2 linked regions of the Xenopus tropicalis genome follow. The protein of the gene in region 1 binds, or shares a complex with, the protein of each later gene. Links are inferred from orthologs where the notes say so. Each region holds a gene or a part of one and is shown on either strand. Other genes may lie near its edges.

Region 1 (7,715 bases):
CTTTTTTTTTTAGCCAGCTGTTTTCATTGCAACAATTTGATTGGTTGCCATGGGTTGCCGCCCATAGGCGAATCTGCCCAGTGTTGATAACTGACCCCCTAAGGTGTTTCTGTGCCTATGGGATGTGTATTAATTCCACCGAACGCACAGCGCCCCACTGTTATTGGCCAGTGTGTGTGTGTGTGCAGTCTGACCCATGTACCCATTAAATTTCTACCTGTATATACCAACGGCTCCGTTGTTATTGCCTCTCTATAGCAACCGAAGGACTGGATTCCTAGCCACAGGGGCAGCCATTCAAAGGAGAAAAGGCACAGTTTACCTAGCAGATAACATAAAACACCATTGTATTCTACAGAGCTTATCTGCTGTGTAACCTCATTTTTTTGGTGTTACCAGGGTCGGACTGGGCTGCCGTGATACCAGGAAAAATCCCGGTGGGCCCCGGCGGCCCAGACCCGACTCTTGTGGCTCCCCCTGCCCGACCGCTCCTCCCCTGATGCGTTAAATTTAAGTGCTCGGGGTCGGACGTCGGGTGGGGGGTTAGGGGGAGACACCTGCGGGGGGGGGGGGTTAGGGGGAGACACCTGCGGGGGGGGGGGGGGGGTTAGGGGGAGACACCTGCGGGGGGGGTTAGGGGGAGACACCTGCGGGGGGGGGTTAGGGGGAGACACCTGCGGGGGGGGGGGTTAGGGGGAGACACCTGCGGGGGGGGGGGTTAGGGGGAGACACCTGCGGGGGGATTGGGGGGGGATACCTGGGGGGGGGTTGGGTGACACCTGCAGGGCCCCTGGGTTGCAGCCCCGTGAGCCCTTCACCCCCGTGAGCCCTTCACCCCCCAGTATGACCCTGGGTGTTACTGTTCCTTTAATTTTCTCTTTTTAGTGGTTGCTGAGATATTTGCTGTTTTAGACTGCTAATAAGCTCTCTCTCAGAAGTCCGTGTGTCAGTGACCAACTATGTTAACCCTCTGGGGCTCATTTACCCACAGAGAGCACTATGGGAAATCCGATTGGCGCCGTGGGTGCATTGATAGATAGCTAAGCATTGATAAATAAGCCCCTCTGATTGGGAGAGGGAACTGCTGAGTTGGCATTAGCAGTCTAAAACGATTTTTAGTAAGTTTACGTGCATTACTTCCCCTTTAAAGCCCAGAGCTAGGAACATTTGTGGTTTTCACCTATTCCTAGCAACGTTGCAATTGGTCCCCATTATTTATTTGTTTGTAGTATTTGAATGATTTGCTCCTGTACAGCTTTCAAATGGGGGTCACTGACCCCAGCAACCAGGAAACTTTTTCGTTCTGATCTTTACAATTTTATTGTTATTGTTACATTATATACCTTGTATTTATATTCAGTTCCTCTCCTAATTATATTCCAGTCTCCCGTTCAATCCACAGCATGGTTGCTAAGGTAAACAAGACCCTAGCAACCAGATAGCTGCTGAAATTCCAAACTGGAGAGCTGCTGAATAAAAAGCTGAATAATTGAAAAAAACACAAAAAATAAAGACCAATTGCAAATTGTCGGATTGAGGACCAATGAGGGAACCTTATGGTGTCGCCACCTTACCCTGATACTGTCGGCCACTCCGCTTCCTTCTTGGTTTATTTACCGCCGCTGCCCCCTGCTGGCTGCTCCTTTAATTGGATTTATTGTTATCGGCACTTCCCTGGATACAGAGGCTGGATTGGTATTAATTAAAGGGGAACTTAATATGAGGCCCCTCCCCAGCTACATCAGCTGGAGTCACAACCAGCAGTGCAGGGAAGGGAGAGGGACAGACACAGTGACAGTTACACATAACTATAAACCCAGTGAGAATGAGGGATGAATGGATATTGGGGAGTTGTATCAGGAGTCAGAACCAGCAGTGCAGGGAAGGGAAAGGGACAGACACAGTGACAGTTACACATAACTATAAACCCAGTGAGAATGAGGAATGAATGGATATTGGGGAGTTGTATCAGGAGTCAGAACCAGCAGTGCAGGGAAGGGAAAGGGACAGACACAGTGACAGTTACACATAACTATAAACCCAGTGAGAATGAGGGATGAATGGATATTGGGGAGTTGTATCAGGAGTCAGAACCAGCAGTGCAGGGAAGGGAAAGGGACAGACACAGTGACAGTTACACATAACTATAAACCCAGTGAGAATGAGGAATGAATGGATATTGGGGAGTTGTATCAGGAGTCAGAACCAGCAGTGCAGGGAAGGGAAAGGGACAGACACAGTGACAGTTACACATAACTATAAACCCAGTGAGAATGAGGGATGAATGGATATTGGGGAGTTGTATCAGGAGTCAGAACCAGCAGTGCAGGGAAGGGAAAGGGACAGACACAGTGACAGTTACACATAACTATAAACCCAGTGAGAATGAGGAATGAATGGATATTGGGGAGTTGTATCAGGAGTCAGAACCAGCAGTGCAGGGAAGGGAGAGGGACAGACACAGTGACAGTTACACATAACTATAAACCCAGTGAGAATGAGGGATGAATGGATATTGGGGAGTTGTATCAGGAGTCAGAACCAGCAGTGCAGGGAAGGGAAAGGGACAGACACAGTGACAGTTACACATAACTATAAACCCAGTGAGAATGAGGGATGAATGGATATTGGGGAGTTGTATCAGGAGTCAGAACCAGCAGTGCAGGGAAGGGAAAGGGACAGACACAGTGACTGGATATTGGGAAGGGGAATTTCTTTCACTCGGCAAACAATGCAGTTATGGGGGGTATTTCCCTATAAGGGGGGGCTAATGCGTTTGTTTCCCCTTTCTCTCAATACCACAGAAATCGTATCTATCGCTCAGCATCTCTTATAAACCGGAGCCGAATCACTGCCTGGTTGCTACGCTACACTGCTCCCTCCCACAGCTTTACAACCCTATTAACCAACCGGTGATAAGCTCCCGCCTACCGACACAACATACAAGCGCGCATAGGCGGATGGAGACGTCAATCTGACAAGGGCTTCGTAACTAAAATACGCTTCCATTGGTCAGAGAGTTCTGACGAGCCTTGCGGGCAGCCTAGTTTTCATTGGTTGAACGGGTTATTCGGTGTCTCTTAGCAACGGGAAATGCTAACAGCGCCACATGACGTACAGGACTCACTGAATCAGCCGCTGAGGTAACTGGGACCGGGGCAATACCGGGGCAACACCGGGGCAATACCGGGGCAACACCGGGGCTGGGCAATACCGGGGCAACACCGGGGCTGGGCAATACCGGGGCAACACCGGGGCAATACCGGGGCAACACCGGGGCAATACCGGGGCAACACCGGGGCAATACCGGGGCAATACCGGGGCAATACCGGGGCAATACCGGGGCAATACCGGGGCAACACCGGGCAATACCGGGGCAACACCGGGGCAATACCGGGGCAATACCGGGGCAACACCGGGGCAATACCGGGGCAATACCGGGGCAACACCGGGGCAATACCGGGGCAATACAGGGGCAATACCGGGGCAATACCGGGGCAACACCGGGGCAATACCGGGGCAATACCGGGGCAACACCGGGGCAATACCGGGGCAACACCGGGGCAATACCGGGGCAATACCGGGGCGGGGCAATACCGGGGCAACACCGGGGCAATACCGGGGCAACACCGGGGCAACACCGGGGCAACACCGGGGCAACACCGGGGCAATACCGGGGCAATACCGGGGCTGGGCAATACCGGGGCAATACCGGGACTGGGCAATACCGGGGCAATACCGGGGCAATACCGGGGGAATACCGGGGCAATACCGGGGCTGGGCAATACCGGGGCAATACCGGGGCAATACCGGGGCTGGGCAATACCGGGGCAATACCGGGGGGCAATACCGGGCAATACCGGGGCTACGGGAATACCGGGGCTGGGCAATACCGGGGCAATACCGGGGCTGGGCAATACCGGGCAATACCGGGGCAATACCGGGGCTGGGCAATACCGGGGCAATACCGGGGCAATACCGGGGCTGGGCAATACGGGGCAATACCGGGCTGGGCAATACGGGCAATACCGGGGCTGGGCAATACCGGGCAATACCGGGACTGGGCAATACGGGGCAATACCGGGGGAATACCGGGGCAATACCGGGGCTGGGCAATACCGGGGCAATACCGGGGCAATACCGGGGCTGGGCAATACCGGGGCATACCGGGACTGGGCAATACCGGGGCAATACCGGGGCAATACCGGGGAATACCGGGGCAATACCGGGACTGGGCAATACCGGGCAATACCGGGGCAATACCGGGGCTGGGCAATACCGGGGCAATACGGGGCTGGGCAATACGGGGCAATACCGGGGCAATACCGGGCAATACCGGGGCTGGGCAATACCGGGGCAATACCGGGGCTGGGCAATACCGGGGCAATACCGGGGCTGGGCAATACCGGGGCAATACGGGGCAATACCAATACCGGGGCAATACCGGGGCAATACCGGGGCTGGGCAATACCGGGCAATACCGGGGCTGGGCAATACCGGGGCAATACCGGGGCTGGGCAATACCGGGGCAATACCGGGGCAATACCGGGCAATACCGGGGCAATACCGGGGCAATACCGGGACTGGGCAATACCGGGGCAATACCGGGGCTGGGCAATACCGGGGCAATACCGGGGCAATACCGGGGCAACAATACGGGGCAATACCGGGGGCAATACCGGGGCAATACCGGGCAATACCGGGGCAATACCGGGGGGCAATACCGGGCAATACCGGGGCAATACCGGGGCTGGGCAATACCGGGGCAATACCGGGGCAATACCGGGACTGGGCAATACCCGGGGCAACCGGGGCAATACCGGGACTGGGCAATACCGGGGCAACACCGGGGCAATACCGGGCTGGGCAATACCGGGGCAATACCGGGGGAATACCGGGGCAATACCGGGGCTGGGCAATACCGGGGCAATACCGGGACTGGGCAATACCCGGGGCAATACCGGGGCTGGGCAATACCGGGGCAATACCGGGGCTGGGCAATACCGGGGCAATACCGGGGCTATACCGGGACTGGGCAATACCGGGACTAGGCAATACCGGGGCAATACCGGGGCAATACCGGGACGGGGGCAATACGGGGCAATACCGGGACTGGGCAATACCGGGGCTGGGCAATACGGGGCAATACCGGGGCAATACCGGGACTGGGCAATACCGGGACTAGGCAATACCGGGGCAATACCGGGCAATACCGGGACCGGGCAATACCGGGCAATACCGGGACTGGGCAATACCGGGGCAATCCGGGGCTGGGCAATACCGGGGCAATACCGGGGCAATACCGGGGCAATACGGGACTGGGCAATACTGGGACTAGGCAATACCGGGGCAATACCGGGGCAATACCGGGACCGGGGCAATACCGGGGCAATACCGGGACTGGGCAATACCGGGGCAATACCGGGACTGGGCAATACCGGGGCAATACCGGGGCAATACCGGGACTGGGCAATACCGGGGCAATACCGGGGCAATACCGGGGCAATACCGGGACTGGGCAATACTGGGGCAATACCGGGACTGGGCAATACCGGGGCAATACCGGGACTGGGCAATCGGGGCAATACCGGGGCAATACCTGGGCAATACCGGGGCAATACCGGGGACTGGGGCAATACCGCCGGGACTGGGCATACCGGGACTGGGCAATACCGGGGACAGGACAGGCCAATACCGGGGACTGGGCAATACCGGGGCAATACCGGGACTGGGCAATACCGGGCAATACCGGGACTGGGCAATACCGGGGCAATACCGGGACTGGGCAATACCGGGACTGGGCAATACCGGGGCAATACCGGGACTGGGCAATACCGGGGCAATACCGGGACTGGGCAATACCGGGGCAATACCGGGACTGGGCAATACCGGGGCAATACCGGGACTGGGCAATACCGGGACTGGGCAATACCGGGGCAATACCGGGGTGCCAGGCAGGGCCAGTGGGGAGGTGCCTGGTACTATTAGCAGTAAAGGGGGCCATATTAATACGAGGGGAAGAGAAGCCCCCACTGCTGATCCCTATGGGGCTGAATTGTATCTGTAGGACTGGTTAATGACTGGTTAATGACTGGTTAATGACTGGTTAATAAGGCCCGGGCAGCTGATGTATCACTGAGAGATGGAGAGAGCAGTAGGTGCCCTGTATTTGCACCAGGGATAAGGAGGCTTTGCTCATAGGAGCTCAGGGCCGCCATCAGAAATCACAAGGCCCCTCACAACAACATTTTCTGTGCCCCCCCTCCTCCCACGCCCCAGTGACCCCTCCCATTAATACAAAGGACACACAGACGTTGGTAGCCAGGGCCCCCTAAAACATTGGTGGTCCTCCCCCAATGTCCTCATACTATGGCCTGCTCTCCGCTGCTTCCTTACTTCCTCCCGCTCCCACCCCGCGTCCTCCCGCATCCTCCAGTTCCTCTCCCCACGTCCTCCTGCATCCTTCAGCTCCCCCCCATGTCTTCCCCCCCCGCACGTCCTCCCACATCCTTCAGCTCCCCCCCACATTCTGCCCCCCCGCACGTCCTCCCACATCCTTCAACTCCCCGGCACGTCTCCCCACCGCAGCGTCTTCCAAGTCTTCCGGCTCCCCCCCAGCATCCTCCTGCTTCCTCCAGGGCCCCCTAAGCATGCTCCAGCTCCCCCCCAGCAACCTCCTGCTTCCTCCAGGGCCCCCCAAGCATCCTCCAGCTCCCCCCCAGCATCCTTCTGCATTCTCCAGGGCCCCCCAAGCATCCTCTAGCTCCCCCCCAGCAACCTCCTGCTTCCTCCAGGGCCCCCAGCATCCTCTTGCTTCCTCCAGGGCCCCCCAAGCATCATCCAGCTCCCCCCAGCTTCCTCCAGGGCCCCCCAAGCATCCTCTAGCTTCCCCCCATCATCATCCTGCTTCCTCCAGGGCCCCCAGCATCCTCTTGCTTCCTCCAGGGCCCCCCCAAGCATCATCCAGCTCCCCCCAGCATCCTCCTGCTTCCTCCAGGGCCCCCCAAGCATCCTCCAGCTTCCCCCCATCATCCTCCTGCTTCCTCCAGGGCCCCCAGCATCCTCTTGCTTCCTCCAGGGCCCCCCAAGCATCATCCAGCTCCCCCCAGCATCCTCCTGCTTCCTCCAGGGCCCCCCAAGCATCCTCCAGCTCCCCCCAGCATCCTCCTGCTTCCTCCAGGGCCCCCCAAGCATCCTCTAGCTCCCCCCAGCATGCTTCTGCGTCCTCCAGGGCCCCCCCAGCATCCTCCTTCTTCCTCCAGGGCCCCCCAAGCATCCACCAGCTCCCCCTCAGCAACCTCCTGCTTCCTCCATTGCCCCCCAAGCATCCTCCAGCTCCCCCCAGCAACCTCCTGCTTCCTCCAGGGCCCCCCCCTAGCATCCTCCAGCTCCCCCCCCCCCAGCAACCTCCTCCTTCCTCCAGGGCCTCCGAAGCATCCTCCAGCTCCCCCCAGCAACCTCCTGCTTCCTCCAGGGCCCTCCAAGCATCATCCAGCTCCCCTACCCCAGCTCCCTGACGTCACACGTACGCACGTGGCGCGACCAATGACTGGGCCCGGAGTTGATTAAAGGGGGCCCAAGCTAAGAAAACTCTAGCACGGCTGGGCCCCCTTTAAAGTTAAAAACGCCCGGGCCCGGGATGACTGTCCCCCTGTGCCCCCCTGATGCCGGCCCTGCAGGAGCTTACAATCTAAGCCCAACAGAGCAGGAAGTTC
Region 2 (7,672 bases), about 110 Mb from region 1:
CCTTTATCAAGCATGCTTCTATCGTACTACTTTAGGATCCTTGATAAAAGTCCATATACACAGTGATGTTAAAACTTTATAATTCATTAACTGGAGTGCTGGTCCTTCAAAAATATCCTCCAAATATAAGGTTTACTTTATTACCTTAAAAGTGATCTCAGCTAGGCAACGTGTACACTTAATATAGAAACGGAAAATAGGGAGCCCCAGATACAGTTCATTTTGCACAGTTTCTTTTCTAGCATTGAACTTCTTCCCCTTGTAAATATACTCTCCACAAGTCTTACACCTGCAAAGACATTGACGAAGAAATAAAATTACTTACTCTGGACAATTCGATGAAAAACAGTATAAAAAATATTTCAGTGGGTTACTCCTTAAACACCACTCACATGCACTCACCTCATATTAAATGGTGCCATCAGACGAACCACATACTGGCGATCTTTTGGAAGCTTTAACTTTGGGATTTTAGATGGATCAAAATCTGGAGGGTAATATTTCTAAAACAGATAAAAAGTTAAAATGAAATCATTTTATAACAATAAGAGCAAATAATTTATAATTATTTATAACAGTAAACAATTTATAGGCTCGATAAATGAATGATTGGTTGCCTTAGAAGATAACCTGAAAAATATATATGATATCACCATATATGGAAGGATGCAGAGCTCTGACAGCCTCCCTATGGTAAACATTGTGGACGTTGGGGGAAAAACAATGCCAAAGACTGCAAATGCTTTACACAGCATACAAGTAAGTCCTTGGAATATTAAGTACGTTCAAATACAGCTGATGTACTGCATGCATATATCGACCACTAGTACTATGTTTCCAGAAAAAAATGTCAATATATTTCAGTGAAATAAAATCAAACGCTTTGATTAAAAGCTTATTATAAAATAGTTAACTGGAAAATATGTATAAACTTAAATTTATTATTTGTAAAAGAAAAATGCACGAACGGTCCATAATGGAGAAGGACCTCAGAGTCTTTGTAGATAATAAACTTGGCTGTAGCAAGCAATGCCAGGCAGCAGCTGCAAGGTTTTGAGCTGTATCAAAAGGTGCATAGCTTCACGGGAGGAGGGGGTTATTCTTCCCCTTTACAGAGCGCTGGTAAGGCCCCATCTAGAATATGCTGTTCAATTTTGGTCTCCAGTGCTCAAACGGGGCATTATTGAATTAGAGAGGGTCCAGAGAAGGGCAGCTTAGATTGTTAAGCGTATGGAAAGTCTCAGTTATGAAGAAAGACTAGCAAAGTTCGGTCTGTTTACACTGGAGATGAGGCACAGAGGTGACATGATAACTATGTATAAATATATAAGGGGATCATATAATAACCTCTCTAAAGCTTTATTTACCAGTAGGTCCTTCTAACTGACACAAGGGCACCCACTCCATTTAGAAGAAAGGAGGTTCTGTTTAAATATTCGGAAAGGATTTTTTTACTGTGAGAGCTGTGAAGTTGTGGAATTCCATACTTGAACCACTCCTACTGGCTGATACATTAGTTATCTTCAAGAAGGGGTTGGATGGCTTTTTAGCAAGTGAGGGAATACAGGGTTATGGGAGATAGCTCTTAGTACAAGTTGATCCAGGGACTGGTCCGATTGCCATCTTGGAGTCAGGAAAGAATTTTTCCCCCTCTGCAGCAAATTAGAGAGGCTTCAGATGGGGTTTTGTGCCTTCCACTGGATCAACTAGCAGTTATGCAAGTTATATATAAGCATTACGTTTAACTTGGTGGCCATATGTCCTTTTTCAACCTAACTTACTATGTTATTATGTGTCATCTATATCAGTGGTACCTAAACTGACCAAGTGGCTAGGGGGACCAAGTCTGCAAGCCAGTTAGTGTAAGACCTAAGATCTAAGGGTAAGGCCTAGATCTTCCTCAGTTAAGTGACAATTTATTTCCTGGATACTCATGGCTGATACAGCAGTGTCTTCATATATCTGTACATATATAGGTGTCATTACATATAGCAAGAAATGTAAGAATTCATAAGCTGGGCTTTTAATTACAGTTTACATCTTCATAACATAGACATCAAAGTACCTTCAGCATGTTTTTTAACGTGACCCTGACAACTGATATTAGTAGTACGCACTATAAACTGACTATATTCTGTGTTAACCAGTTTCCAGTGCCATCGCTGTTAGCTCTAGGCCCATATCATACAAACCATTTTGCTACACAGGGGACATGCTGATTTAGCTGCCCCATGTGTAATCCGCCTGTTACTGCACACTAGCCAGATTTTGCCAGAGAACGTTTATTATGATTATAATAGTTATGCATTTTAGCTGAACTCTGCACGTATGTGGAATGACCAAGCTTTTTAAACAAGATGCTTCTGGCATAGGAAGCAAGATTTGTCTTGCTTTAAATGTACAATATAATAATTGAATTTCATACTGGTGACCTTGCAGCCTACCCCTGAAGCTGACAGAGTGGAATGCTGGAACTACTGACCCAGCAGAGTTGTCTTCACTTCAGCCTTTACTACTTTGATAACTTCTCTTAGTATTAATTATATAACATGTAACATATGTAATATCCCTCATACGTAATAAAAGTTACAAGTATGCCAGGGTGAAGAAAGCCATATTTTGCGTTAAAAAAAAGTGACCAGCAAATGCTACTTGCTGATTGGTTGCATTAGGTAACAAGTCATGTACAGAATTTTGCACCTTTTATAACACAATCCTCAGAGTTTTTACTGACGCACCACGTCTTTATTAGTGAGTGCTGTTTACATATCTTCAACCGGTCTATCCCTTAACCAAGCGCCTCCTGTCCCTTTCCCCAAGTCCCTTCTTACTATTACGTACATTTAAGACTTTCCGCTCAGACATTGTTACTCTTCACTCCTCTGTAGCTGTATTTTCCAAATGGCGCAGATCAATGACGTCACGCTCCAGCCGCTCGCAGGAACAAGCAGCTAGGAAGTGTTTTATATTCACGCACGTCATCTCAGCGCCACCAGGTGGTCAAATGACTTGGGTTGTGCAGTCACCTAGCAACCAGATACAAAAATGACTGATGAGAAGGAGGCCGCTGGTAAGTTAATGCTCCATAACAAAATGTAAAAAACAGATAAAAATAGCGAGACGAGGAGAGGGAAGGAGAAGGGGAAATTAACAGAGACTTGGTCTGAACCCTGTTAGAAAATCAATAGAAACGAGTAAAGTACATTCTACAAATAATCGCCTGTTCATCTTTATGGGTGACTAAAATACTGGGTGCATTTTAGATAGAGTATCAATTAACCTATTGGTACAATTTGGAATAGAATTTTAGTATTGATATACTGCAGGCAGCAGAATGTGCTATAATCCTAGGCAGGGCTGCCATCAGAACTCACAGGCCCCATACAACACAATTAGCAGGATCTGTTGTCCAGCCAGTGGGCATCTAAGCTTTTGTTCGATCAGTACATCAGACCTAGTGAAGTGAAGGGGGGGAATCAAAGGCAAGGGATTATATTTATGTTAAACAAAAAAAAAACCTGTATGGATTTTTTTAATAAATTTATATTAAAAAATATTGTCTTTTTCATAAAGAACCTGGCACCATAAGGGCTCTTAGATTTTTCACTTTACTTCCCCTTAAAAAATGTACTGCAATTCCCATTCTCTGATAACGTAAGGGGGCCGTGCAGGTGTAGGTATGTAGGTGTGTACCTAAGGATATCCTAAAATTGTACTGATCACACCAGTCACATCCCTGTTACTAGGATTGGCTTCTGTGCAAGATAGTTATAATCAAAACTTTGGAATTTAGCACCCATTACTATTATACCTCATCTCAATACTGTTGGCTAAAAACAAACCCTGAAATGTAAGCAAGAGACAATGAGCTACTATAAGTTGCTGTAATGAAGTAAGTTATTCTGATCAGTGCAAGATATAGGAAAACTGTAAAAGTAATAAATGCAAAAAAAAGCACCAAATTACATTTTTAATGTGTGTTAAAAAAGCTAGTAGCTTATGTTCTGTTTTCTATCCATTATAGTCAGTGCCAAAGCCAATTAATCCATTTCCTTAATTCAAGCGTTTAGGTTATGGTGTGAACAGACATACTGTATATGAGCAACAGAGAATACCACCGTACAGGGCAGCCTTGAGGGCAAATAGTTGTCCTGGTGTTTTTTATGGTCATAGGAGCGCAGGCCACGCTGCACTTGGATTACCAGGGCCCCCTGCAGTCAGTGACCAGCAGCCTTCAGAACACAGGACTAGCGCTCCAGTGCCAGCTTCTTATTATCTCATACAGCTTTCTGTAAGCTCATTTGCCAATAAAGTTTAAGTCCCGGAAAAGGTGCATGGTGATTGAATGGGCTGGAAGGGACCCATCCAATCCCCATGCAGAATTACCAGGATTTAGAGTTCTGTGGTAAATGAGCAGTAAAGGAGATACAGGCACCCAGGTTCCTGTCCTTTGCTACCCGATTCTGCAGCTCTCACAGCAGCACGGCCGGGCCCCCCTTAAACCTCAAAACCCACCGGGCCCAGGACTGTCCTCCCTGGCGGCGGCCCTGGTTCTAAGGCTGTTTCAGCGCAATCTGAGAATAGGCAATGCACCACCATTCTCTTTCTGAACCTGTGTGTGCACTGACAGGCATGTGACATATAAATATATGTATTTTCATGCCAAAATCTTTGTGTGTGCTAAAGAGGTGATCCGTTGCACTTGAAGTGGTGACAGATGGTTCTCCACACAGATGGAGCTCAAATAGTCATATTAGTAATGGAAACAGTGTATAACTGTAAAGCATGTCACTATGCCTGCTAATCCATTAATGCATCTAATTATTTTCTTACACATATTTTTTCAGAATCTCTAGTGACAGATTTACAGAAAAAAATTACAGAAGCCTTTGAGGTTTTTGACCATGAATGTAACAAAACTGTTGATGTCAGGTAAACATAACATTTTCCCTGTAGTTTTTTTTTGTAGAATGCTGGGTAAACAGGAGAAAGACAGCTGTACAAGCTTTCAGTTCCTAAAGCTGCCATTTTTATTATTTAATGCAATCTCAAAAGTGTGTGTGCTTTGGTAATCATTTTCTTTGTATTGTGTAAAAAAAAACAACACACTAAACAAGCAAAACCTTACTTTGTCAAGAGTTCTCATTAAAAAAAGTATACAATATGCACATTATTTATTTTATTTATTATTTTTTAAAGCTATTAGACTAATTAAGATTTTTTTTACATTAACAGGATATAAAAGCTAACCCTAACCCTGTTTTATTTTAAAGTTTCATGCATTAACTGTGCTACTTTTGTAACAGAGAGATTGGAACAATCATAAGGTCTTTAGAATGTTGCCCAACAGAAGGCGAACTCCATGATATGATTGCAGAGGTAAGGTTTTAAAAACAAGTTAAAGAGTACAGAACTATATGCACTTATTGTGCCCATATCAATAAAAACTGAAAAATTGCAGCTGTAAAAGTAAAAATATTTTTATATTTATTCTGACCTATTATTGCCTAAGAAGAGATAAAACCTTTGTATGTCTTATCTTGCTGTGTAAAATAACTCCCACGTTTAAGATGTAGCTGAGAAAGTTTTTGCCTGTTAAAGGCAACAAGAATTCTGCGAGTCTTTGTTAGCATGTTCAGCCAATAGAGGGCACTGTTTTATTAAAGTCTGTTTCTAAAATGTTACATTTTCTAAACAAAAAATAGTATGGCAACTCTGAGCAACTATAAATGAACATCAATATATAGACACATTAGGCATCCTATACAAAATATACCAGTTTTCATTAACATTTAAAGGAGAAGGAAAGGTAAAAACTAAGTAAGCTTTATCAGAAAGCTCTATGTTAATACAGCCATAAGCACTCACAGAAACACTGCACTGAGTCCTCATCAAAAGAAACACATGATTTATTGTCTCCTTTTTTGTAAACATGGTCTAAGAGTGTATGACTTCCTCTCTCAGAAAAATCCTTCATTCCAGGGGCCAGAGTCTGCACAGTTCTCTCCTCTCTCCTGCTCTCCCCTCCCATAAGAATTCATGAAACTGACTCCCCCCACCCTTAGGAATGTGTAATCTGAGCTATAGCGGCTAAACTGCAAGCAGGAAGCTATGAAGACCAAGCTAAAATGGCAGCTGCTGTCTTAAACAAACAGAGAAAGCTTCTAGGGCTCTTTACTCAGTTATGGTAATGCTTTCTGCAGAATAAATATAGCATTCTAGGTGGCACTAATGTGGCGAATCTATTGGCAGTAAAATGCCAAACTGACTTTCCTTCTCCTTTAAATGTAAAGTTTTTTCTTAACTAAATACTCTGCATCACATTATTTGCTAAAAATATAGCCATGTGTTTTGTGATTTTGAACGCAATAAACCTTGCTGTCCCATGGAATGTAATTATGACAGGAAATATTTTTTTTAAATAAAATTGATTTATTATTTTTACATTTCTTAATCTCTTTTTTCAAATATGGTTTATTATTTACATTTATATTCCTTGCCTTTTAGGTAGAAGAAGAAGAACCTACAGGGTACATTCGTTTTGAAAAATTCCTCCCCATGATGACTAAGGCATTAATGGAGAGAAGGTATACATTTCATTAGGTGCTTTCATGTGCTTTACACCAGCTTTATGGTGGCATTAGGTAAAGGGTGTCTTGGCACAGCCATTAGCCTAATGTCTTCGTATTTGCAGACCCAAAACAATACTTCAGTTATGACAAGGGTGCAATCCTCTGATGAATATATTATATATGTGGGGGAATGGTTGGATGCATACTGTATGTTTTAGATTCAGTTAGAACTGCACTGGACTGTAATCCTGGGCCCCCTCCCCACAGGAGCTGCTGTGTATGGTTTTTACACTCCTCTCTAGAGTTTATTTTTCTGCTGATTTATATAAAGATACCTGCCAAACTGATTAAGATGTAGAAAGAAAAACTTGTTTTTTAATTGTTGTACATGATGCAAATTTAGGTCTTTCTATAATTTTCCTTTGTGGTTTGCAGGTATAGACCCATTCCTGAAGATATTCTTCTCCGAGCCTTTGAGGTTGGTGTTTTATTGTTATGTTTTAATAGGCAATAAAGAGTGTTACCAGGCAGAGCTAATCAGCTCTATTTACTAATTTCCAGGTTTTAGATGAAAAGAAAAAGGGATACCTCACTAGAGAAGAACTTGTCAAATATATGACTGAAGAAGGTACAGTTATACACAAAGTGTTTATTTTGAGACAGTGCTAATCTAGAAATAAATATTTTTGAATCATGAAACACTTGCACAGACTGTGTGTCTTATTGTCTCAGGTGAACCATTCACACAAGAGGAGATGGAAGAGATGGTGTCAGCTGCAGTGGATCCAGAGAAGAATGTTGTTCCATACAGAGAGTATGCTGCAATGATGACCATTGATGATTATTGATAATAAGTCAGTTTAAAAAAAACAGGAGGCATTTTAAAACACGTACATAGTACAATTATATATAAAGTGGTGTTTTTTAGACTTGAAGACTTTAAATTCCCACTTGAAGACTTTGAATTCCCACAGACTGCCCAGTTTTTTCAGTGGCCATGCACAGGCAGATCTAAGCTGCCAAATTGGCCCCTTTAGACCAATTCAGCAGCTTATCTGCCTGTATATAGGGCCTCAAGGTTGAAAGATCTTCACGTGTAT

What was found.
Region 2: drc1 (region 1) and efcab2 share a complex: the UniProt entries of both Homo sapiens proteins name them as parts of the nexin-dynein regulatory complex. The link is inferred for Xenopus tropicalis from reciprocal best matches to the Homo sapiens genes DRC1 and DRC8.

The regions. Positions count from the first base shown.
Region 1 is NC_030681.2:159,570,861-159,578,575, forward strand, and holds the start of drc1 (dynein regulatory complex protein 1), read left to right. Parts: upstream 1-3,040; 5' UTR 3,041-3,093; coding exon 3,094-3,143; intron 3,144-7,715. UniProt on the Homo sapiens protein: Component of the nexin-dynein regulatory complex (N-DRC) a key regulator of ciliary/flagellar motility which maintains the alignment and integrity of the distal axoneme and regulates microtubule sliding in motile axonemes.
Region 2 is NC_030681.2:51,984,838-51,992,509, reverse strand, and holds the start of efcab2 (dynein regulatory complex protein 8), read left to right. Parts: upstream 1-2,987; 5' UTR 2,988-3,045; coding exon 3,046-3,070; intron 3,071-4,847; coding exon 4,848-4,932; intron 4,933-5,306; coding exon 5,307-5,379; intron 5,380-6,507; coding exon 6,508-6,587; intron 6,588-7,007; coding exon 7,008-7,050; intron 7,051-7,133; coding exon 7,134-7,200; intron 7,201-7,304; coding exon 7,305-7,420; 3' UTR 7,421-7,672. Other genes in the region: splicing factor YJU2, read right to left, coding at 145-289, 403-503, 2,842-2,865. UniProt on the Homo sapiens protein: Component of the nexin-dynein regulatory complex (N-DRC), a key regulator of ciliary/flagellar motility which maintains the alignment and integrity of the distal axoneme and regulates microtubule sliding in motile axonemes.